Linked DNA regions of Xenopus tropicalis. The protein of the gene in region 5 purifies or fractionates together with the protein of the main gene of each other region. This does not show direct contact. Links are inferred from orthologs where the notes say so. Each region holds a gene or a part of one and is shown on either strand. Other genes may lie near its edges.

The links.
Region 1: the proteins of yap1 (region 5) and amotl2 purify together in Homo sapiens (affinity purification with mass spectrometry; 10 studies listed by BioGRID and IntAct, with this or other methods). This does not show direct contact. The link is inferred for Xenopus tropicalis from reciprocal best matches to the Homo sapiens genes YAP1 and AMOTL2.
Region 2: the proteins of yap1 (region 5) and wbp2 purify together in Homo sapiens (affinity purification with mass spectrometry; 7 studies listed by BioGRID and IntAct, with this or other methods). This does not show direct contact. The link is inferred for Xenopus tropicalis from reciprocal best matches to the Homo sapiens genes YAP1 and WBP2.
Region 3: the proteins of yap1 (region 5) and runx2 purify together in Homo sapiens (affinity purification with western blotting; 4 studies listed by BioGRID and IntAct, with this or other methods). This does not show direct contact. The link is inferred for Xenopus tropicalis from reciprocal best matches to the Homo sapiens genes YAP1 and RUNX2.
Region 4: the proteins of yap1 (region 5) and alb purify together in Homo sapiens (affinity purification with mass spectrometry, with the first as the bait; 3 studies listed by BioGRID). This does not show direct contact. The link is inferred for Xenopus tropicalis from reciprocal best matches to the Homo sapiens genes YAP1 and ALB.
Region 6: the proteins of yap1 (region 5) and patj purify together in Homo sapiens (affinity purification with mass spectrometry; 7 studies listed by BioGRID and IntAct, with this or other methods). This does not show direct contact. The link is inferred for Xenopus tropicalis from reciprocal best matches to the Homo sapiens genes YAP1 and PATJ.
Region 7: the proteins of yap1 (region 5) and ccdc85c purify together in Homo sapiens (affinity purification with mass spectrometry; 5 studies listed by BioGRID and IntAct, with this or other methods). This does not show direct contact. The link is inferred for Xenopus tropicalis from reciprocal best matches to the Homo sapiens genes YAP1 and CCDC85C.

The regions. Positions count from the first base shown.
Region 1 is NC_030681.2:130,254,009-130,258,185, reverse strand, and holds the start of amotl2 (angiomotin-like protein 2), read left to right. Parts: upstream 1-1,377; 5' UTR 1,378-1,565; intron 1,566-2,872; exon of another isoform or gene 2,873-2,955; intron 2,956-3,157; 5' UTR 3,158-3,237; coding exon 3,238-3,929; intron 3,930-4,177. UniProt on the Homo sapiens protein: Regulates the translocation of phosphorylated SRC to peripheral cell-matrix adhesion sites. Required for proper architecture of actin filaments.
Region 2 is NC_030686.2:44,865,580-44,869,408, reverse strand, and holds the end of wbp2 (WW domain-binding protein 2), read left to right. Parts: intron 1-1,410; coding exon 1,411-1,536; intron 1,537-2,195; coding exon 2,196-2,272; intron 2,273-2,351; coding exon 2,352-2,405; 3' UTR 2,406-3,329; downstream 3,330-3,829. UniProt on the Homo sapiens protein: Acts as a transcriptional coactivator of estrogen and progesterone receptors (ESR1 and PGR) upon hormone activation. In presence of estrogen, binds to ESR1-responsive promoters. Synergizes with YAP1 to enhance PGR activity.
Region 3 is NC_030681.2:147,509,874-147,513,373, forward strand, and holds part of runx2 (runt-related transcription factor 2), read right to left. Parts: intron 833-3,500; coding exon 357-832; 3' UTR 1-356. UniProt on the Homo sapiens protein: Transcription factor involved in osteoblastic differentiation and skeletal morphogenesis. Essential for the maturation of osteoblasts and both intramembranous and endochondral ossification.
Region 4 is NC_030677.2:80,150,261-80,153,760, reverse strand, and holds part of alb (albumin precursor), read left to right. Parts: intron 1-130; coding exon 131-228; intron 229-1,995; coding exon 1,996-2,134; intron 2,135-3,080; coding exon 3,081-3,304; intron 3,305-3,500. UniProt on the Homo sapiens protein: Binds water, Ca(2+), Na(+), K(+), fatty acids, hormones, bilirubin and drugs. Its main function is the regulation of the colloidal osmotic pressure of blood. Major zinc transporter in plasma, typically binds about 80% of all plasma zinc.
Region 5 is NC_030678.2:162,264,145-162,266,732, reverse strand, and holds the end of yap1 (transcriptional coactivator YAP1), read left to right. Parts: coding exon 1-72; intron 73-500; coding exon 501-613; intron 614-1,849; coding exon 1,850-2,088; downstream 2,089-2,588. UniProt on the Homo sapiens protein: Transcriptional regulator with dual roles as a coactivator and corepressor. Critical downstream regulatory target in the Hippo signaling pathway, crucial for organ size control and tumor suppression by restricting proliferation and promoting apoptosis.
Region 6 is NC_030680.2:85,652,428-85,655,927, forward strand, and holds part of patj (inaD-like protein), read right to left. Parts: intron 2,657-3,500; coding exon 2,539-2,656; intron 1,708-2,538; coding exon 1,670-1,707; intron 1,581-1,669; coding exon 1,458-1,580; intron 735-1,457; coding exon 630-734; intron 1-629.
Region 7 is NC_030684.2:90,720,597-90,724,562, reverse strand, and holds the start of ccdc85c (coiled-coil domain-containing protein 85C), read left to right. Parts: upstream 1-1,166; 5' UTR 1,167-1,503; coding exon 1,504-2,212; intron 2,213-3,966. UniProt on the Homo sapiens protein: May play a role in cell-cell adhesion and epithelium development through its interaction with proteins of the beta-catenin family. May play an important role in cortical development, especially in the maintenance of radial glia.

The DNA.
Region 1 (4,177 bases), on a different chromosome or scaffold from region 5:
GGAGAAAATGCAAAATGAGAAGAAATTAGCACTTAGCTGCAATGTGTTCAGTCTGGGCATACCAGTTATAGCCGTAGAGATAATTGTGGAAAGGTCTGCCATAAACTATGACCTACTGTCATTTATTTTCATCAAAGGGAAACAGATCAGCCCCTTGACGGACAGTAAAGAAGCCCTTCCTGGCCAAGCAGAAAGTGGCTTTTTTTATGTTACAACAGGCTATTTTCTCAGTTGTAAGCTAGGTTCCATGCCAACGAGCACCATAGATCTGTAGCCACTGATATGAGACAATGGCTTAATTGGAATAGCAAGCTGTATAGCCAGTGAATACAATAGCACCTCCTGCGTATAGCATTCTTACCCAACTCTGCTCGGGGTCCGCGGGCATTATCTATTTCTAACAGAGAGTATATGTGCCTGAATATCTGCCAAAATAAAATGTGTAGTGGCTGGCTATGCTTAACGAGGGAATAGTATCAATTTCTGATTCATTTTGATTTTCACCACAATTCAGCATTGTACCCCAGAGTATCACCCAGGGGCATTGCAGAACCCAGTACCACTCAGCGGCCTAGTTGATATGACCCCCACACTTTTAGTTTTTTGCATCGGAGCAGGTCAGGGGGGGATGCATTTCTCTAGCAAATCTGAAATTCCTATTTAAAAATTAGAATATTTGCTCTTGAAGATATACTGGGGGGGGGGGGGGCAAAAATATTTAGTTTTTTGGGTCTGAGCAGGTCAGGGGGGATGCATTTCTCTAGCAGAGCTGCAATTCCTATTTAAAAATTAGAATGTTTGAATGAAGATATATCAGGGGAGGGGGCACAATAGTAACTTGTAGTGTGCAGCTGCCTGAGGTAAATTTCCCAACTGCCCTTATGGCAGCAGCGCCACAACTGCACTGTAATTGTGGGGCAATATTAAATGGTGCCACTTCTGGTGTCATTAAACAGAATCATGGTAAAATTGGCTTGGAGCAAAGTCAGTTGTGTCCATGGAAGCAAGGGGGGGACCAGGAATTACCACAAGCTCTATTTAAAAAAATCTGATCTCTAAGTCTGAAAGATGTACCCAGGCGGTATTCTCGTTTGATGTACAGTTATTATGAGCTTCCGTGCCTGTTATTGTAAGGCAGTGCGGACAGCACAATTAGGCGCCTCATAATTAGCCGCCATTATACAGAAACATGTAATAACAACAGTAATGCGTGCTCTCTGCTAGCGGCTCCAACGCGGGGAGATCTTCCGCCCCCAGCGGCCGCTCACTGGAGTGCAGCCCGGAGGGAAAGTATGAGAGGAGGCGGGCAGAATGCTGAGTGGAGGAGGGAGGGAGAAAGGTTATGTGTGGTTATAGCTTTATCCCAGGGGGAGCCTGAAACTCTCACATTCCGCGCATAGCAAAGCTATTGAAGCACTAGAGCGGCGTGAGTGCTGCGGGATCAGTCTGCTCAGCGCTCTCAGGCAGCACACAGCTCACTGCGCACAGGGAAAGTACGGGCACAGTCGCACCGACACAGTCGCACCGAGAGCCCAGTCTGCTGCGCACACACTGGCTATGCTCGGGTGAGTACGCTCTTTCCTACACTCTGCCCTGCGCTTGCTTTTACCTTTATTTTCTGTTTTTATTTGCGCACTGTATGTACATATCGTACCCCCGGCGCATTACTGCGGTCTGTGAGTCACATGTCTCGCAAGCAGCTAGAATAAGGACAGTTGTTTATTATACATGGGTACCATTGCTACACAGTCTTTCATTAAGCTGGTGTCCCGCAGAACTTGCAATCTAAAAGCTGCTGCTCTAGAATGAATAGAAATACTTCTTGTGTATGTCTGTCTGTATTTATATTCAGTTTCTTGTATATGCAATAATGCTCAATGTAGATAATGTATAATGTTTGTGTTGGTACCTGAGCAACTCCCAGCACCCACAGCTTTAGTCTATGTGCAAACTGTTGTGTTTCTATATATGTATGCATGTGTATATACCGTATGTCTTTGTCTCTATAGACTTATCTATAGAATAAAAGCCCCCAATGACTGGTCATTTGTCACAATGGTATTTATGTAGGGTGCTGTTGGTGCCTGAGAAATTCTGGGGGCCTGTGATGCCTGAGTATTGTATATTCCTTGTGTACAAAGTGTCATCTAAGGGACAACATTTATGTCATTTTAAAGGAGACAAAGGGGGGATTAGCAGGTGTTTTGCCACCTTAGCCATGGCAGCAGCAATCCACCAACTATATTCTATTCTTATTATGATTCTTGTTTTTAGAACGGGCCTGTGTGGGGTAGAGGGAAGGCTGCAATTCACAAAGAATGTCAATTGCAACACAAAGAAGCCAGTGATGTCACTTCTTAGCTATGCTAAAGGTGCTCTCGCCTCCTACGTGCTGGAAAATATTTTCCCGTAAGAGACAAGGGAACGTTCAGGTTTGGCCCTATGTACATACCTATATATATATATAAATATATATATATATATATATATATATATATATATAAATATATTTTAGAAGTTTTAGTGAAAGGGGGAATTTGTTGTGATGGCTATTTATACTAAATCTGCTACAAGGAGTGTTTAACAGCATTAAAAGATTCTTACATGCCGTATTTTTGTTGGTTAGGGATGGAATCCCAGTATTTATTTTCTTTGCTATGGAGGCCTGAAACTAAATAAATACTGGCACTGTTTTTGGTTGTTCAACTTCAACTAGGAAATGTGGAATTCAAGGGGAGGGCTATAAGGCAGAGGCAGCAGGGGGGCATACCATAGATACAGTGGGCTTTATCTACATAGAAAGGGAGGTGTGTGTATATGTGTGGACAGGAGGGGGGGGATTAGTAAAGGGAGGAAATTCCATTCCTCTGATATCCATCACCTCCAAAAAAACAAGCAGTTAATTGCCTAAAAATCAGCAGCTTACAAGTCAATGAAGCTCTATTTCTTAGCAAAGTAAGTAGAACGTGTGTATGTTGTATTGGAAAATCCAGTTAGAATCCTCCAGGGTTCTTTGTTCCTTTGTGAACATGACTTTTAAGCATTGTGAACATTGACTTGATGTTATGATGAGACATAAAACCATCACTGTCACATCCTTCTTGTGTTATTTGGAAGAATTTTGTCTTAAAACATATATTTTTTTCTTGTTCCACAGGCTCTCCCCAACAGTCGAATAGGATTATAATCCATTACTTATATTTTCCACTTGACTGAGGATTTATTTACTTGTTAAGGATGAGAACAGCCGAGGATTCCTCTGGAACGGTTCTACACCGTCTCATTCAGGAGCAACTAAGATATGGGAATCTTAGTGATAACCGTACATTGTTGGCTATCCAGGAGCAGGCTCTGCGGGCTGGAGGTGGCAGTGGAAGTCCCAGATCATCCCTAGAAAGTCTTGAACAGGAAGAGATTCAAATGGCTCCTTCAGCAAGGCAAGAACCCCAAGGCCAGGAGTATCATTGTGACTATTTCTACTTGGAAAACCCCATGTATAAGGCTCATGAATTTCAACACAAAGGCGAGGAATTGCCAACTTATGAAGAAGCCAAAGCGGCACTCTCACAGTACTATGCAGCCCAGAACACCCAGCCAGTGGAACATGGTGGTCATCGGCAAGACCAATCCCTTAAGGATTTGAAACATGGCCATGTCAGGTCCTTAAGTGAACGTCTGCTGCAGATGTCTTTGGAGCGAAATGGTGCCAAGCCTCAAAACCTTATGAGCTCCTCTCATAGCTTCCCACAGCTTTCAAGGCATTACCAGCTATCGGTGGCTCGTGAGCAACAGGAAGATAGGGGACAGTATAGGGGTGCTCCTCCGGAGTACCCTCATTTTAATCAACCAGTACAGGACATACGAGGATACACAACAGAACAAAGGCATTATTCTGGGGAACTGCCTGTATATCACCAGTCTGAAGTCAGGTGAGCACAGACTTCTAACCATACTATGCAAACATCTTCACGATGTAGATGGAATATCTCTACTGTAGGATTGCATTTAAAGTTTACCCTTTAAAACATCTGTCAACTGGAGCATGTTTATTTATAATGGCATGTTGGCTGTAGATCAATATTATGGAATTCCAGCCATCCAGTAGTTATTGTCCACTGGCCAGCCACAGTATTGTAAAGAGTGCGCAAATACGTAATTTATGTACGTAGAGAAGTAT
Region 2 (3,829 bases), on a different chromosome or scaffold from region 5:
AATTCAAATTTTTCAAAATCATTTACTTTTTCTCTGTAATAATAAAACAGTACCTGTACTTGATCCCAACTAAGATATAATTACCCCTTATTGGGGCAGAACAGCCCTATTGAGTTTATTTAATGGTTAAATGATTCCCTTTTCTCTGTAATAATAAAACAGTACCTGTACTTGATCCCAACTAAGATATAATTACCCCTTATTGGGGGCAGAACAGCCCTATTGGGTTTATTTAATGGTTAAATGATTCCCCTTTTCTCTGTAATAATAAAACAGTACCTGTACTTGATCCCAACTAAGATATAATTACCCCTTATTGGGGCAGAACAGCCCTATTGGGTTTATTTAATGGTTAAATGATTCCCTTTTCTCTGTAATAATAAAACAGTACCTGTACTTGATCCCAACTAAGATATAATTACCCCTTATTGGGGCAGAACAGCCCTATTGGGTTTATTTCATGGTTAAATGATTCCCTTTTCTCTGTAATAATAAAACAGTACCTGTACTTGATCCCAACTAAGATATAATTACCCCTTATTGGGGGCAGAACAGCCCTATTGGGTTTATTTAATGGTTAAATGATTCCCTTTTCTCTGTAATAATAAAACAGTACCTGTACTTGATCCCAACTAAGATATAATTACCCCTTATTGGGGGCAGAACAGCCCTATTGGGTTTATTTAATGGTTAAATGATTCCCTTTTCTCTGTAATAATAAAACAGTACCTGTACTTGATCCCAACTAAGATATAATGAATCCTTATTGGAGGCAAAACAATCCTATTGGGTTTAATTAATGTTTAATGATTTTTTTGTTTAAAGTATAGAGATCCACATTATGGAAAGACCCATTATCCGGAAAAAACCCAGATCCCTGAGCATTCTGGATAACAGGTCCCATACCTGTATTATGTGCTGATAGAGACAATCCTGTCATGCTCCATAAATGACATAAGCTCAATAAACGACAATAACAGTATAATATATATTACCACTAGAGGTGCTGTTCCATAGCAGAGTATGGAGAATGCCTCAGCTTTGGCAAAAAACACGGAATTATTGCACCGGCGCATACGCAGACAGGGCGGCAGGGGGTAACAAGGGCCACAGTCGGGGAAAGGGTCCAGAACCGGTGGTAGGTGACAGAAGAGGTACCTGCCTGGTGCCCCCTCCCCCCACCAATGCGCCTTAGGGAGGTGCCTCTTCTGCCTGCCCCTAGTTCCAGCCCTGCACGTGAGGTATTTGTTTTATAGAGTTAAGTACAGCATATACTTCCCCTTTAATGAACAAGACAGGTTTTTTTTATGTGAGAAATAAGAGATTTGAGACTTTTCCAAAGCAAATAGAGAAATCCAGATTGTTTTTACTTTATTTTATCCTTTAGTTCATAACCTTCATCTCTTTCAGAGTTTTACTCAGGAGCAGCTGCACAGGGCGGATCCCTCACCTACATGCACCCTCCACCTCCCCCTTACCCTGGGCCTATGGAGCCTCCGTCAGCCTGTGCCCCTGATCTGCCTTCCACTCCAGCAGGTGAGAGAGAAACAATAGCCTCATACTAAACTGTCTAAGGGAAACACTATGGCACCTCCTACCCATATGTATAAATACAAATATACAGAGAAGGAATGTTCTGGGCACACAATAAGCTGTACCCCCATACTGTACTGTCTAAGGGAAACACTATGGCACCCCCTACCCATATGTATAAATACAAATATACAGAGAAGGCATGTTCTGGGCACACAATAAGCTGTACCCTCATACTGTACTGTCTAAGGGAAACAATATGGCACCCCCTACCCATATGTATAAATACAAATATACAGAGAAGGAATGTTCTGGGCACACAATAAGCTGTACCCTCATACTGTACTGTCTAAGGGAAACACTATGGCACCCCCTACCCATATGTATAAATACAAATATACAGAGAAGGAATGTTCTGGGCACACAATAAGCTGTATCCCCATACTGTACTGTCTAAGCGAAACACTATGGCACCTCCTACCCATATGTATAAATACAAATATACAGAGATGGAATGTTCTGGGCACACAATAAGCTGTACCCCCATACTGTACAGTCTAAGGGAAACACTATGGCACCCCCTACCCATATGTATAAATACAAATATACAGAGATGGAATGTTCTGGGCACACAATAAGCTGACTTGTGTTCTTTCATGTAGCGGAAGCCAAGGCTGCAGAAGCTGCTGCAAGTGGCTACTATAGCCAACAGAACCCCCCACACTCCTACATGCCACCGGTAAGCTTCGTATGTTTACCCTGTCTTTTCTCACTCACTGCCCTACTCGATCTCTATTACATTATCTCTTTCTCTTCAGGACCTCCCTCCACCACCCCCTTACTTCCCACCAGAAGACAAGAAAACCCAATAAACCTTACTGCTGCAGTCGTCCTGCTTTCTGACTTTTACTCCTTGGCCACAGGGCATCTCCTTCATGTCTAAAACAGAGCATAGCCTCTGTTGGTTCAACCACTTCAGTTCTGTTTTTTTCCACAGCCTTAATGGTTAAAATCAAACTGCTTTCTGCTTGTTTAACTGCCTTGTTAATGCCAAAGTTTGCTGTTTGATACATATAGTGGTGTTTCTTTAACAGATCTCTGCCGAAAGCTTGTTCAAAGGGTTAGTCCACTTGGTCATGTTTCCTTTAGCTGTACCAAGAACCACACTATCTTATCGAATCCAGACTATCTTAACCTGGGTATCATTTTACCCAGGCTAAGGAATCCAGTTATCTGAGTTTCAAGTACCTGGCTGCTCTCTTTCCCATGGTCAACTAGAAGAGAGGGCTTGGACCAAACTAAATGAGCTGATTGGGACTATTGCATTGCAGCCATGGATAGAAATTCATGAAGCAAGAGCCGCTTCTACCAAATGTGCCAGCCTGCTTTACATTTGATATAGATTTCTATTCCAAGCCCCGCCCCCTAGACCATTAGAAAGAGAGCAGCCCAGCTGTAGGAACTCGTGCAAACGGAACCAGGGTTCATCCAAAGTGGACTTAACTTTAAATACTGTGCTTTGCAGTGTTCTGCATGCCTTTCCAGAAGAGGCTAAGCATGTCATGGTGCTGTCCGGACTTACGTTACTGCAGATTTTACCCCCTCTATGGTCACTTTCTGCTGCTTACCAGTTATACCAAACCCAATTTGGCTAAATACCTCATCCACAAGCTATCTGCTGTTTAAAGCATATATATATAAATACAAGAGTTAAATATAAAAATAATTTATTTTAAAGAAATTAATGTTCTTTTGGGAATGTGTTTTGCATAAAGAATAAAAGTTATTCTAACAAATCCTTTGCTCTGTCGTTTTTCCTCGAGTTTGAGAGTTTATTCACAGGACTTTGGGCTATAAACATAATATTTCGGCTATTTTCATTAGCTGCCACAAAGTTTATCTATAAATGCGATGCCCGTCTTGTGATGCTGATATTAATCTCTGTGTGACATATATTCGTTTATTTCGTTTCTCATTGTACACACAGAGCTTTTACACCCACCACTAGAGGGCATTCTATGCATTAACTTTGTGCTAGAACAAATGCTGGTTTGCCATTTATCTTCCTTCATAAACTGACTAGTTATAGACATAATATACACTTTCTGCAGCTTTAATTCCAGATTAAAACAATGCTACTCAAAAATACACATTCCGCTATTTAGAGGACATTGTTACAATACAGTCAGTACAGGAGGTGACTAGTGATGAGCGAATCTGTTCCGTTTCGCTTCGCCGAAAAATTCGCGAATCTTTGAAAAGATCCGCGAAACGGCGAAAAATTCGCGAAACTGCG
Region 3 (3,500 bases), on a different chromosome or scaffold from region 5:
CTTCCCGTTTATTGGCAAATTGCGGCTCGGGAATGGAATCTTCTCTCACCCCCGTGGGAAAAAAAAAGTCTTTTTAAAGCTTCCACAACCATTTTTGGTGATGAAAACTCTTTGGAATGGTTCAGTTGGACATAAATAATGATCAAGAAATAAGAGTTTTAAGGCCATGTGTGCTTGTAACCATCTCATTTGAAACATAGTGGCAAAAATATTTTGCCAAATCAGTTTACTTGCATTATTTTTTTTATTTATAAAAGCCTATAAAAGTTAAAAATAGTGACATCCAAAAAGTTCATTTAAAAAAAAGGCACTTCTGTGTTCTGTGGAAAAATGTCTTCCTATTGGCTGTTCTGTCATCAGTAAGGCCTCCATACGGATTCATCCATTCGACCAGTGGAGTTTAACACAGTAGGAGAGCTGCTGTGGCTTCCGTCTGCATCCACCCCATCATTCTGATTGGCCAGATTGGGGTTAAGCAATGTGCCCCCGTTGGACGTGGTGCAGGGTGGTAGCATCCGAGATGGAGATCTGTCACCCCCGGGAACCATGGGGAACTGGTATGATCCAGATGATGTACCGTAGTAAAGGTAGGGAGTGCTGCTGGTTTGGAATGGTCCACTTTGATTCTGGGAGGAGCCTGGATAAGGGGGTGGTAGGTAGGTATGATAGTGAGTGGTTGCAGACATACCTAAAGACATCCCTGTGGTGACAGGAGGACTATACGTGAATGTGGCAGGATAGTGCATTCGTGGGTTGGAAAACCGACTCTCTGTTAATGATGAAATACTTGTAAACTGCCGCGGATCGGAGAATGGACCCAGTTCCGAAGCACCTAAACAAAGAAAAACAAATGTCAATATATTTGTTTTAAATGTGGTCCTTTGGTAAATCTGTACAATCAATTATTTATCAAAATTTCTACTCTGTGTTTGGGATTGTTACATGACCTGTGCAAGTCCAACAAAAGCTAAATGCTGATTGGTTACTGAACCGAGACAGACTATTTGGCTGTAAAAGATTTACTAAAATCTCAAGTTATATTGATTTTCTTTCACTCTCTCTTTCTCTGTATACAGGTATAGGACCCGTTATTCCGGATAAGGGGTCTCCATACCTTAAGTTCACTAAAAAATCAATAAAACATTAATTAAATCCATTAGGATTGTTTTTTTGCATCCAATAAGGATTATTTATATCTTAGTTGGGATCAAGTACAGGTACTGTTTTATTATTACAGAGAAAAGGGAATCATTTAACCATTAAATAAACCCAATAGGGCTGTTCTGCCCCAATAAGGGGTAATTATATCTTAGTTGGGATCAAGTACAGGTACTGTTTTATTATTACAGAGAAAAGGGAGTCATTTAACCATTAAATAAACCCAATAGGGCTGTTCTGCCCCCAATAAGGGGTAATTATATCTTAGTTGGGATCAATTACAGGTACTGTTTTATTATTACAGAGAAAAGGGAATCATTTAACCATTAAATAAACCCAATAGGGCTGTTCTGCCCCCAATAAGGGGTAATTATATCTTAGTTGGGATCAAGTACAGGTACTGTTTTATTATTACAGAGAAAAGGGAATCATTTAACCATTAAATAAACCCAATAGGGCTGTTCTGCCCCCAATAAGGGGTAATTATATCTTAGTTGGGATCAAGTACAGGTACTGTTTTATTATTACAGAGAAAAGGGAATAATTTAACCATGAAATAAACCCAATAGGGCTGTTCTGCCCCCAATAAGGGGTAATTATATCTTAGTTGGGATCAAGTACAGGTACTGTTTTATTATTACAGAGAAAAAGGAAATCAGTTTTAAAATTCTGAATTATTTGATTAAAATGGAGTCTGTGGGAGACAGGTTTTCTGTAATTCGAAACTTTCTGGATAACGGGTTTCTGGATAAGGGATCCTATACCTGTATAGCATAACTAAATTTAGAAACATTTTTGAAATTTGAATAACAGAATTTCAAGTTTCTCTAATGCAAAACTGAAGATTTTATCTGAGAATTGCTTTTCATGGGCATTAAGGTTACAAATATCTTTAAAACCATTGGAAATTTTTCATGAATGATGGTTGGAAATATGCATAGAATTACATTTTCTTGAATTAGGCAAATAATGACTAGGAAACAGAGAGTAAATATGTATACTGTATATATACACACACACACACATATATTCAGCCAGACCACGCAACTTTAAAAAAAAAAAGCAGACATTTTTCAAAAGGCGACAGTCACACCTCTGCTAATATAAACCTTTTCTTGTCCTTATGATTTTTGCCTCGGTGCCTTTCGGTCAGAAACTCGGAACAATTAAATTTCCATATGTTTCCATTTATTTTGCTGCAAAAGCGTCATTAAGGCCAGGGTCTGGCTACAATCCAGCCGTGCTCAATGAGCTTTTTCTTGTCTCCATTAGCCCTCTACCTGCTCCCGGTCTCTAGGAACCGTAGCCCCCACAAATGTTTATGGCCGCCAGGTAATGTCACTTGTCATTCATTTTACAGCTTCGAGCCCAAAAGATGTGGTTTGCTGGAAATCATAAAAAGAGTAAATTTCTTCCAGAATTCCTACACTTTAGCTTTTCACTCTCAATTACCCCATGCCTGGTGCTGCTAAGCCTTCATCCCCGTGTCACATTAATCACACCCTAATCTCCCCATTAATTTGATAAGTTGAACGCAGCCATTTTCCAGTTTTCTGCAGTCGGTTCCCATTATCTTCTACTGAGTCAAAAATATATTGCGAGCTCTGCAATGTTTATATCGAGTAGGGAAAGCCGACCTCCAGTGATTGCTTACATATAGCAGTCGGAGGGAGATTCCGCCACAGTGTTGTGACTTATAGGAACATATCGGCTAATAAACATAGACAGAGGGTCATTTTTGTGTTCAGGGAGGCTAATTAAAGACATTTTCTACACAGTATCCCAGGGCTAATTCCAAGTGTAATACCCCAGTACACATGGCAAGATAAATACAGTGCCAATTCTATATATAATGCCCCCAGAACACATATCTGGATAAATACAGTGCCAGTGCTATATACAGTATAATGCCCCCAGAAAACATTGCAGGATAAATACTATGCCAGTTCTATATATAATGCACCAGAACAAAGATCAGGATAAAAACAGTGCCAGTTCTATATACATAATGCCCCCAGAACACATTGCAGGATAAATACAGTGCCAGTTCTATATATAATGCACCAGAACAAATATCAGGATAAATACAGTGCTAGTTCTATATACATAATGCCCCCAGAACACACTGCAGGATAAATACAGTGCCTGTTCTATATATAATGCACCAGAACAAATATTAAGATTAATACAGTGCCAGTTCTATATATAATGCCCCCAGAACACATGACAGGATAAATACTATGCCAGTTCTACATATATAATGCCCCCAGAACACATGACAGGATAAATACAGTGCCAGTTCTATATATAATGCCCCCAGAACAAATATCAGGATAAATACA
Region 4 (3,500 bases), on a different chromosome or scaffold from region 5:
GGCCCTGTTATTGCATGGGGTCCTGAAAAGCAGTGTAGTTACTAAACAACTAAACCCCAAATGTTTTTAGATAAGCATTAGAGTGAAACAGGCCTCATTACTAATTAGAATTCTTATCCTTTTTTATTAGGCTAACTTGTTCTTAAATGAAGCCAAGGAGAGATTTGCATATTTGAAACAAAACTGTGATGCTCTGCAAGAACATGGTGAATACCTTTTTGAAAATGAGTAAGTTTCACAGATATAGATATCCTATTTCTTTGTTTATTTGCACTTGGAGAGATATGGGTGTTGTGGCATGGTCATTTATATTCAATGAAACTTATTGTCCTGGCTAGAGCCTTGTATATAAGAATCCTATCTATAGAATACATAGTTACATAGGGTTGAAAAAGACCAGAGTCCATCAAGTTCAACCCTTCCTGAACCCAGCACAAATATAATAAGTAAGTATATAAGTAAAATGCCTTTCCTTCTCCTTTAAGTAACATAAAGATTTAGCACAAGTACATTTTTCAGGTCCAGAAACTGTTGGTCTAGTTACATAGGTAAGTTGGGTTGAAAAAAGACCATCAAGTGAACTTAGCTCAAACACAAACATATACTGACCTATGTATACATTCACACACATAAACCCTATATTCCAACATTAATACTAACTGTAGATTATAGTGTCACAATAGCTTTGGATACTATGCATGTTTAGGAACTCATCCAGACCCCTCTTAAAGGCATTAACAGAATCTGCCATTACCACATCACTAGGAAGGGCATTCCACAACCTCACTGCCCTCACCTTGAAAAACCATCTACTCTGCTTCAAAAGTTCCGTTCCTCTAATCTAAAGGGGTGGCCTCTGGTGCGCTGATCATTTATATGGGAAAAAAGAATATCCCCATCTGCCTATAATCCCCTCTAATGTACTTGTACAGAGTAATCATGTCCCCTCGCAAGCGCCTCTTTTCCAGAGAAAACAACCCCAACCTCGACAGTCTCACCTCATAGCTTAAATCTTCCATCCCCTTTACCAGTTTAGTTGCACGTCTCTGCACTCTCTCCAGCTCATTAATATCCTTCTTAAAGAGACACTGACACCAGAAATTAAACCTTTTTTTTGCGTTTATCATAACATTGTCTTTGAATGCTATTTATAATTTTGCCATAAAAGTATTTGCCCAATGCTTTTACAATACCTATCTGATCCCCCATGTTCCTCTGTGAGGAGGCTGGCATATTTGTGCTGCCATAGTCCATTAGCATTAAAAGCAACAACTTACAAGCTGGGAAGGTACAGTCAGATTGGCACAACAGTTAGGTTCAAGTAACAATTACTTACAAAAGCAGTACTGTCAGTAAAAAACGATCAGTATGACTTTTAATGTACATTAATATTTTGAAGAGTAATTTTTTACTGTCAGTATTACCTTAAGGACTGGAGCCCAAAACTGCACTGCATACTCAAGGTGATGCCTTACCAGAGACCTATAAAGAGGAAAAATTATGTTTTCATCTCTTGAGTCAATGCCCTTTTTTATACAAGACAGCACTTTATTTGCTTTAGTAGCCACAGAATGACACTGCCTGGAATTAGACAACTTGCTATCTACAATATCCCCAGATCATTCTCAATTAAGGATAACCCAACAAACTGCCATTTAGTATATAACTAGCATTTATATTATTTCTACCAAAGCGCATAACTTTGCACTTTTCAACATTGAACGTCATTTTCCATTTTGCTGCCCAGTTTTCCAATTTTTGTCAAACAAGCAAAGTGACAGCGTCCTGTGTGGAACTTATATACTTAATACACTAGATGGGAGTAGGTTACAGAATAGAATTTGAATTTATATAGAAGTGTGAAGAGGCCAGGATCAGAAGAAGAATAAACAACGGAGGCCTTGGGTACTAAAGTTTTCAACTTCCTGAAAATAAAATGAGATAAATTCAAGTTTTAGTAAATCTGCCCCTAAGTTTTTTCTTCTTTTGTTTTAGCGCTCTTATAAGGTACGCCAAGAAAATGCCCACAGTATCAAGTAAAGGTTTGATTGGATTAGCACACCAAATGGCAGATATTGGTGAACACTGCTGTGCCCTACCAGAAAACCAGAGGTTGCCATGTGCAGAAGGAGACGTATGTATATATTGTTTGTTATGTTTTGCTTGGGTTTATGCAAACCTTTCTGCCAACTTCTAGTGCATTTTTTCTATATAACCTAATTACAGCTTTATAATGTATGAAATACTGACTCTTTGTCCACCCATCTACAAACATGCACACACCTACAAACAAACACAGCACCATAAGAAAAACGTTTAGAATATCATATCTGGGGACTGATATTAAGCACATAGAGCCCAGCAACATTACTCAATAAACCCAAATATAGTGCACAGCTAGTTACCATTATAGTATAGTTACCTAAAATATATTTAATACAGCTACTCTACACACACTTCCAAGCCAATTTGAGTACATAGAACACACCATTACAATGGTGCCATTTCTGAACACATATGACTGACTTCACATTACTGCACTTGTTTAACTGTAATCCCATATGACTTCTTGATAACATGCAGTAGTAATGTAGATACAGATGTGAAGTATAATTTTCATAGTTCTTAAGGAATTATCAACCATTTTAACCTTAGAAATGTTTACTATGGACAAGTGAATCTCTTGTTTGCAATGGGCTACAGACATCTAGTATGGTTCATTTACTTGCGAGAATAACAAACAGCTTAGGTTAAGGAATCACAGCTATAAACCATTTACATCTCTAAAACTCTAAATAATTAAAGCAGTTAGTAAAAAAAAGCATAATTAAGCATCCTCTTAAGTCCACTGGATTGTGCATAATAGAGACAGGTACTTTTCAAGATAGAAAGTCTGATGTAAAGAGAAAAAATAATGGTCGCAAAAAAAATAATATACTAGACTCACTATTGTATAAAATATATATAATAGTGAGCCTTTGACACGTAAAATATTGCTGATATATAATTTGTCATTATTTAACAAACACTGTTTTAAAGATTGTTGATATTGATGTCCTGTTTTTCACTTCCCTTTAAAGCTTAGCATACTCTTTGGAAAGCTGTGTGAAAAGCAAAAGAAGAATTTTGCAAATGATGGAGTTGCTCACTGCTGCAGTGACTCGTATTCTGGGATGCGTTCATGCTTTACTGCTCTTGGTCCGGATACGAACTATGTACCACCCCCAGTCACTGATGACACATTTCACTTCGATGACAAGATATGCACTGCTAATGAGAAAGAACAACAGCATATCAAACAGACGTAAATATTTTTGCCATTATTGTTTGATGTAATTCTTTGAGAACAGTTTAGCACACATAAATCGTATTGAATTGCCTAAAAGGGGTTGTTCCCCTTTAAATGAACTTTTAGAAACAATGCAATTGTTTTTTTAGCTACTGGGGTCTGTGACCCCCATTTGAAAGCTGGAAAGATGTAGAAAAGCAAATCATTCAAA
Region 5 (2,588 bases):
AGTGTGTTCAACAGGGATTTCCCAGGAGATGAGAACAATGACAATGAACAGCTCCGATCCATTCCTCAACAGGTTTGGGCCAATTCTTATCTCCCTCTAGTGACCCCTTGTAATATTTAGCTGCTCCCGCCCGCCATGAACTTGCTTCCTAGTAACAGGCTGTATGAGACACACTGGGGCTCATTTACCAACACTGAGCAGTATATAGCAACCAATCGGCAATGAGATGCTTTTTTTTTTTTTTTAACTAGCTGAAGGAAGGACATTGAAAGCGGAAATGTAATTTGTTGCCATAAGTAACACCTCAGGTGTTGATAAATGAGCCCCAGCAATTAGTAGCACAACATCCACAGTAATCACACAGTTACACACTGGCAGGTATGCAGAGGATAATCTACATTAAAGACAACCCACAGTAAATATAAACTGTTTTGGAAGGTCTTCTTGCTTGGTAGTATATACTTTCTGAGCTTTATTTAACCATATTTCTTTCTCATCAGTGGAACATATCACTCCAGAGACGAAAGCACTGACAGCGGGTTGAGCATGAGCAGTTACAGTGTACCCAGGACTCCCGACGATTTCCTCAACAGTGTTGATGAAATGGACACAGGTCAGTTTGTCTCGCCATTAGGGGCACACAGTTACAATCTGTAGGGTTTGAACCTCATGTATAAGTTGTTTGATTAAAGGGCACTGTCCTTGAGAAGGTCTAGTTCAGTAGACCCGTATCACCATCTTTGCCAGGCTGTCGGATCCAAATAATAATGTCCAAGCTGCCATCGTAGAATGCACCACATGACCCTAGAAGTGATGCCACATGTGGGCAGATCACTGAAATTCTACAAAACAGCCCACATCTCTCCTAACTTCCCCTGCAGGGTACCCACACCCCACCTGCATAGTCAGTCTTCTTTGACTGAATCCCAACCTCTGTCAGGTACCCACGGAATACCCCCAATCTACTAAGATATGCCCCCCCCCACCCCTTTAAGCAAAACAGGGATTGTTTGCCCATATATTGCAATATATTCAAGCTGACCAACTACGTCACTGTCACCCCCGGTGTGGCCGGTCCTACACTCGCTCACCCCCGGTGTGGCCGGTCCTACACTCGCTCACCCCCGGTGTGGCCGGTCCTACACTCGCTCACCCCCGGTGTGGCCGGTCCTACACTCGCTCACCCCCGGTGTGGCCGGTCCTACACTCGCTCACCCCCGGTGTGGCCGGTCCTACACTCGCTCACCCCCGGTGTGGCCGGTCCTACACTCGCTCACCCCCGGTGTGGCCGGTCCTACACTCGCTCACCCCCGGTGTGGCCGGTCCTACACTCGCTCACCCCCGGTGTGGCCGGTCCTACACTCGCTCACCCCCGGTGTGGCCGGTCCTACACTCGCTCACCCCCGGTGTGGCCGGTCCTACACTCGCTCACCCCGGTGTGGCCGTCCTACACTCGCTCACCCCCGGTGTGGCCGGTCCTACACTCGCTCACCCCCGGTGTGGCCGGTCCTACACTCGCTCACCCCCGGTGTGGCCGGTCCTACACTCGCTCACCCCCGGTGTGGCCGGTCCTACACTCGCTCACCCCCGGCCTGGCCGGTCCTACACTCGCTCACCCCCGGTCTGGCCGGTCCTGAGGAGACATTGAAATAAGAGTATAACAATACAAAAAAATAAGTGCTAAGTATAAACTGGATATATTTAGTACAAAGAACTGCATAGCCCTAATTAAATGTTCATAAAACCATAACTGTATTGAGGAAAGGTACATTTTAGCAGCATAATGCTCCTTTTAAAGATTTTAAATAGAACTCGGAACTGACAGGTTACTGTTGCATTCTGTTTCTAGGTGAAGCTATTACCCAAAGTACAATACCTACCCAACAGAACCGGTTCCCAGACTATTTGGAAACCCTTCCTGGCACAAATGTGGACCTTGGCACGCTAGAGGGAGAAGCCATGAATGTGGAAGGGGAAGAACTTATGCCGAGCCTTCAAGAAGCTCTCAGTTCCGACATCCTCAACGATATGGAATCCGTTCTGGCAGCAACCAAACTAGATAAGGAAAGTTTCCTCACGTGGTTATAGAAGCATCTGCAAAACTGATTTCTAAATACCCGAAGGATTGTTCATGTCTGGAGGTGAAACTGAGTTTATGATATATACAGAAAAAATATCAGGCGGCGAGCAAAAACTACTTTTTTAAAAAAAAAACAAACAATTATTTTTTGATGTTTTTAGTATTCTCCACCCATTGCTGCTTCATTGCGTCTGATATATTTGAAAGAGCCTTATGAATCAACCACACCAGTCTTTTCCTGCTATAGCTGCCTTTTTCAGACATTGGTTTGGCCTACACGGATCAAGGATGCTTGGGAAGCGCTGCAGCCGACGGGGCTCATGTACATAGCACGCAAATCGTTTGGAATTCACCAGCCAATCCCAGAGACTAGAGACCACGTCCTAAACCCAATATAACATTTTGTATAAAGGTGTTTTTTTTTTGTTTTTTTTTAGAAATGTAGTGTTCTTATTATGGTAGCAGTACTGCCATACCAACGCTTCTCAGTCACTTTGTGTACTCTCAG
Region 6 (3,500 bases), on a different chromosome or scaffold from region 5:
ATTTCCAGTATCCTGCAATTTCAGATTAAGGCAGAAAACTTGTAAATGTACTTACCATATGTGAAACAGAGTGATTTTGTACATTTTGTTAAGTAACATGGAGTGCCCTCCTAGAATGCACTTACATGTGCAGTGAGCTCTGCTGCCAGTTGGAGTTAGGCTGATGCCACACCAGGCGTAGGGCTGATTTTTTCGGCAAGCGGAAAAAATCAGCCCTACGCCTGGTGTGGCATCAGCCTTAGTCTCTACAGAATGACAGTTATCAATGTCTCACAGCTGAAACATCTGAGGCTTAAGACTAATGCCACACGAGGCGTAGGGCGGATATTTTCGGCAAGCGGAAAAGCGCTTGCTGAAAATTCCGCCCTACGCCTCCTACATGTGCCTGCACCCGAATGAATGAGATACGCTCGGGTGCAGGCACATGTAGCCGATATGCGCATAAAAACACGAGACTTTGCATTATATATATATGGGCTACATGTGCCTGCACCCGAGCGTATCTCATTCATTCGGGTGCAGGCACATGTAGGAGGCATAGGGCGGAATTTTCAGCAAGCTCTTTTCCGCTTTCCGAAAATATCCGCCCTACGCCTCGTCTGGCATTAGCCTTACATTTATTACCATACCTGCAAAACAATGGTTCCAAATGCATGCTTCAGGATATTAACCACTTCTGCATGTGACAGCCCATCCACTGGTTGCTGGTTAATGCTGACAAGCCGATCCCCAACCTATACCCCACAAGCCCATGATAAAACATACAGGTCAGGATTAATTTCAAAAGATGGTTATTAAATATAATGCAGTACTGAATATTTTCTTTACTTTGCAATTTTGAGAATAGAAAATATTGCAAGATTAAGTAAGTACAAATTGAGAATTAACAGAATTTTGTTAAATGACAAATAAAAGGGCAGATTGGCACAATTCACTACTATAAACTTTGCCTCTACAACAAGCTGCTTAAATGTACAAGCAAAAAACGTCCTTACAGTAATATCTTCTATGGAAACAGCATAATATATAGATTGTAAGCTCTAAGGGGCAGGGACCTCCATTCTCTTGTGTCTTTGACTCTTAACTTATTGCAACTATATCTTTTATTTATTGTTAAACTTTATCTAATTTATTATTATCTTAATAACCCCGTTTGTATTAATGTATTCTACTTTACAGCGCTGCGTACAGTAGCGCTTTATAAATAAAGATATACATACATAATTCTAACATAGGCACTTGGTTTTTATAGGTCATTGCCATGTTTACCAATAAAACAAAGTATGATGAGAATGGGGCATAATTTGGTTTTCCTTCATTATGGTTAAAGGTCAATGAGAGAAGTAAAACATGTAGAACCATCTCACCATAATGTGCTTTTATTAAGACAAAATATAATTTGCTTATGCGTCATTACTGTTCGTAAAAGTCACATGGTGATAAAAACAGATACTTACTTTTAATTTGTGTGTCCGTGCTGCTACACCACTAGCTTGGATCATAGCAATGAAAACTGGGATATCTCCCAATGGGCTGCCTTTCCCTCCTGCGATACTGATCCCAAGAGCATCATAAGGGCCCTAACAAAGTGTGAAAATGGAAAGGTATTAAGTCATTGTATATTTCCCTCCAACTCTTATTATAGCAAGTGTAGTTTTTCTTTACTTACTCTATTAATTTCTACAGTCCGTGGCTCCAAGTCTGTGCCTGTATTTAAAGGGGATAGATATCTTAAATACTTATTCATTGAAAAAGTAAAAGTGAAGTGCTAAATTTAAAGGTAAAGCAAAAATAAAAAAACAAAACAAAACAAAGCACTACAATAGAAAGACAAATACAATAGGTGACCCCTGAAAGGGGCTGTCTCTAGATATTTGCTCTGAAGACATATTTCTCCTTCCCACAAGTTATCTGGATTACAGCCATATATAATACTATATTATTCTCTTCTGCAACACTGCCATGCTGTATATCACACAAGTAAATAGAGAACAACACATTAAAAAGGAAAACAAATGAAGGTGAGACATCACCCTGGTTCAGTAACTGCATTTCCATGTAGTCTTGACTGCAGTTCAGTTCAGAATACTGGTACTCAGAGTAAGGAATGTATTTGCTTATACTGGCTCCACCATGTATTTGTTTATTTAATTGTCCATTAGCAAAATGGTTGTAAAAATAAAATGAAATGGTAACAAAATATTAGGAAAGACAAACAAGCAATGGTCGTATGGTCCTACTAATCAATCACAGTACTGCGTACACAAATTTATTTCAGACACTCTGAATGCTAAACCTTTAGAATAGTAGTTAGGGCACAGCGAGCACAGAGAGACAGTAAGACTGAATGACCATTTACTGACTCAAAAATTATACCCAAGACTTTCTGATGATTTTAAAGTATATCTGTAGTATTCTTTGTCTGCTTTATCTTTTCAGAACCATTCCTTCTCTCTTTAATGCCACATATGTCACAGGCACAATAACTCCAAGCCACTGTAAAAAGGTAATAGAATTGTAGTACTGCACAGTATTTACCAGAATGCCTTTGTGATGAGTCTGCAGAGGATTTCTTGGAGCTAGCATAGTCTTGCATGCTGGAAATAACTGGAGTTAATGATGGAGGAAGAACACCATGGGAACTCATTTGGTTGATCTAGAGTGCAATTCAGTAATATGTTCTTCAGTTTAAATGGTACAAACAGACATTACATCCATGCATTACTTAAGAGGCAATAAAAATATTTTTTATATTTCTTTAGGTGAAATTTCCCCAAGTGGCTGCAAGTTACATTTATACCACAAATGGATACACATTTTGAATTAACCCGTAAACTAGCATATAATATAATTTATAACACAACAAATAATACTAGTTGTTAAAATAAAATCTGGCTAGGTTAATGAGAATAAATACACATTATTTCCTTCTACTAACACAATTATTGTGTTTATTATAGGCTTGCATATTATCTGACCTACATCTTGCTTTTTCTCACTTACTCTTTGTATGTCTCTAGAAATCTAGAACAGTTACTTGCAAAAAGTTTTAAACAATGAACAACCAGATTATTTAGGCTTGTTAGCAGTGTATCCTCTGGCTTCTCTGCATTACAAGTCTCTATTAATATTATGTTTTTAGCTATTTTAGGAATCTTTGAAAGTGCCTATTATTTTAATATCTGCCTTTTGCCTTTCTTTGGTCTGAAATACTTAGTGTTCTAGTTCAGAAACAGTGAAAGAGCTATAGACTGGGAAACTCAAGAATGAAAAGTACTGCTACAAATAAATACCCATTTTTCAAACAAGGCTAGTTGCTCTACAATTAGTTGTTACACTATTTTGGGCCAATATACAGCCCAAAAAGCCAATACAGTCAACGGGTCTTCTGTGTGGATTCTTATATTGAGTGAAAAAAAAATGACTTTTAGATCTAATAAAGAATTACCTGTTACTTACAATACAGATACAGTTGTACGGTTTCACAGGTTATACAATAA
Region 7 (3,966 bases), on a different chromosome or scaffold from region 5:
AATGCGCAAACGAATCAATACAGCAATTCATAGGAGCAATGCACAACTAAGCAATGCAGCAATGCACAACTAAACATTGTGGCAATGCACAACTAAACACTGCAATGATGAACAGAAACAGCACACAACTAAATACTGCAGCAATGCACTTACTAAGCACTGTAGTAAAAAACAACTAAGCAATGCAGCAATGTACAACATAACACTGCAGCAATGCACAACTAAACAATGCAGCAATAAACAACTAAACTATTCAGCAATACACAACTATGCACTGTAGTAATGTACTACTATGCACAACTATGCAGTGTAGTAATGCATGAATAAACAATGCAGTAAAGCCCAACTACAAACTGCAGCAATGCATGGGACAATTCAGAACAAAACACTGCAGCAATACAACTTAGCGCTGTACTAACGCACAACTAAACAAATGCAGCCAAGTACAATTACACACTGCAGTAATACACAGGGACAATGCAGAACAAAGCACTGCAGCAATGCACAACTATGCATTGTATTAATGCTCAACTAAACTGCAGAAATGCACACCTACACACTGCAGCAATGCACAGGAACAGTGCACAGCTAAACACTACATCAATGCACAAGTGCAGCAGTGCACAACTGAAAAATGCAGACATGCACAATTAAACAATGCAGCAAACAAGAGCAATGCATAATTTAACACTGCTGCAAGGTATATTGCAGCAATGCAACAACAGTGCTGTACTCTGTGACTGTGTGTACAGGGAAAACACCCAATATACTACTATAAGTAGGCAGCGCTGAAACGTTTTTTTCCTGCTAATCCCTATATTAACAGCCTAATGAAGCTGCTTCATATATCTACTTATAGGAAAGTTAAGGCTGGCAGTGGCTCATAACTAAAGTGAGCGATAAGAAGGTTGGCCAGTGATTTCCAGCAGTCAGTGCTGCAGCGCTGTTTCCCAGGCTCCTTCCCTTCCTTACAGCCGATTTGTTATTTTTTAACCAGAGCTGAACGTTGACCTAGTTAGCTCGCTGTGAATAGCGCTCAGTCTTCGGGACACGCCTGCGCTCTGTATGTGCCAATAAAGCTCGTTTAAAAGAAAGGTAAAAAAAAACCCTCCAGCAGCACAGACAGAGGGAAGGGGGAGTCGGAGGGCTTAGTTGTGAGGAGGCAGCAAAGCCGTGCCATTGCGCTCACACTGAGGAGTTGGAGGATTAGCTGCCGGCTGGACATCGCCACTGAGCAACCGAGGAAACCTTTTCTGCGTGTGGCTACAGGCACCCACTTACACATGAGCCCGCTGGCAGTCCCTCTACTCACACTCCCCGGCGTTGTTGCTTCAGATACTGAACAAGTTCCCAGGACTCTGGGATATGCCAGCAATGAATGAGCCTTTGCAGCCAGGACTCTGCTTGATTGAAAAGCCATTCTAGCTAGAGACATGGCTGGTTAGTTACACGCTAGAGGATATTCTTATTTCTGCTTTATTTCGGCGTGTTATCTCCGTTGCCATGGCCAAACATTGCCAGGGAGCAGCGGCAGAAGATATCGGCACCATCTCGGACGAGGAGCTGCTGCGCTGGAGCAAAGAGGAGCTGGCCAAGAGGCTGAGGAAAGTGGAGAATGAGAAGATGAGCCTGATGGTGGAGCATGGCAATATGATGAAAGATGTGAACAGGAGGCTTCAGGTCCATCTCCATGAGATCAGGGGGCTAAAGGAAGTCAACCAGAAACTTCAGGATGACAACCAGGAGCTACGGGAACTCTGCTGTTTCTTGGATGATGACAGACAGAAGGGCAAGAAACTGTCCAGGGAATGGCAGAGGTTTGGTAGGCACTCAGCCACTATGATGTGGAAGGAGGTTGGGGTTTACCAGCAGAAGCTGAAGGAGCTGGAGGCAAAGCAGGAGTCCTTAATAAGGGACAACCTGGAGTTGAAGGAGATCATCCTCATGTTAGATGAGGAGAGGAATGGTGCTGGGTCCAGAAGCTCCATCGATAGCCAAAACAGCTTGACCAATTTGAATGGAAGTTCTGGCCCTAGAGATGTGGGGGACGGCAGCAGCACTTCCAGCACTGGCAGCGCGGGTAGCCCTGACCATCACCACCATCATCACCACCACACAAAACCAACTGAGAACAAAGCTGGGACAGTTAGGAAATCAACTGATGACCTGTCCATCCCCCCTCACCACAGAAGTATTCCCAATGGCTTGAATGGTAAGACCCATCTCCTTGAGTACTCTGCACATAACATCTTTTGTCATTACAGTTACCCTGGTAATGTATGAGTTTATTTGGGTGCGTGTAAAGTTCTCTGTAAAACCCAGCGTTTTAATCAAAGATTTATAGAACAATGAGGTTTTTTATGTTTGGGCACCAAAAATGTTTTAACTAAATTCTGCCCGAAGGCTGATAATTTAACTGTAAAGTTATCCCCATTTGGTTTATTATTAGATGGGCATTGGTATGAAACATAACCAGTGAAGCAAGACTTATATTTCAGAAATACCACACTTTTCTCTGGTACTGTGAAATATATAAGAAAGAATATTATGAAGAAACAGTACAACCCGAAACAGTAGTCTGAAGACCAAGCTTTTGACAGCTTGCGGTTTAGTGACTCTGTGTATACCACATCTGATAATATTTGTAATGCTGATGGTCTGGAAGGGTTTTGTGTTATACACAAATGCCAAGGTCAAAAAATATTATCTGTTTATTAAAAACAATGTTATTTTCTTTAGCGCTGTACAAGTGTTGGTTACTTACAGATGACAACTGTTTGAGAAACATAGTGGTAAAATTATGGAGTGTAAATAAGCATTTCTGCCTAGCACTTTCACTGCAGCAATTAGTTCTTAGAGAGGGAACCAGCAAAATAAATGAAAATATCTACCAAAAATGGATTAAAATGTCCCCAGTGTCTATAATATGATCACGTTGTTCATGTGCAGTTGTCATGGGGCCAGCTGTCATACATTATTACATTAATTTATTGTAACTTTCTCACTGTGAATTTTTTAATAAATTTGTCTTATTGTAAAACTGAAATTTTTGTCAATACAGACCTTCTTAAATGTCTTCCATTAACCCATGTTCATGGAAATATAAAAGTGCATCAGCTAATTCATTATTTACTATTAACTGTTTGGTTTTGGCCACTTTTTATTATTATTTTCAATGTTTTCTAATACATGGCAGATCTTTTTCCACTTAATTGTGGATCTCTATAACTCCCTAAAGAGTGGTAGGCTAGTAATGGTGCCAGGGAATGAGGTGTGGTCCCAGCAAACTGTCAGGAGGCAAATAGGGCCCTAGCCCAAACGGTTGGTAATTCCTGTGATAGGTAATTATTCCTGTAAATGGGAGGAATCCTATTATTTTGAACATCTGCAATTTTAGTATATATGTGTAAATTGTGTACCTATCACCCACTCATTTACACTCGTTATGTTAAATGTAAATTTGGTGCATGTGGATACCCTGTGACTTGTGCAACCACAAGCTCTATAGGAAGGCTTTCAGCATGCTTGACTAATTGTGTATTGTGCTGTATAATGTTCACAGCAATCGTGACATTATACTGTGTGTTTCCTGGCTGAAGCTGATTTTGTTATCTGTAAATTATAAGCAATTCAGCCACATTGTAGAAAAAATAATTTTATATATAAAAACAAAAAAGCAAAACACTCATGGCTCAAAAAATATATAAGTTCAAAATATTTATTGTTCAGTCGTAGTGCCATTGACATTGGCGCGTTTCCATCATCGGGATGTCCCCAGCCCCAAGTCAATATATATACATTGACTGTTCTGTGTATCGTTTCAGTTAAAGGGGTTGTTCACCTTTGAATTAACTTCTAGATATTCTGAGACAATTTGAAATTGGTCTTCATTTTTGATTGCTAGGGTTCAAGTTTCCTTAGCAACCTTGGAGTGGTTTGGATGAAAGGCTGGAAACAGAGAGGGCC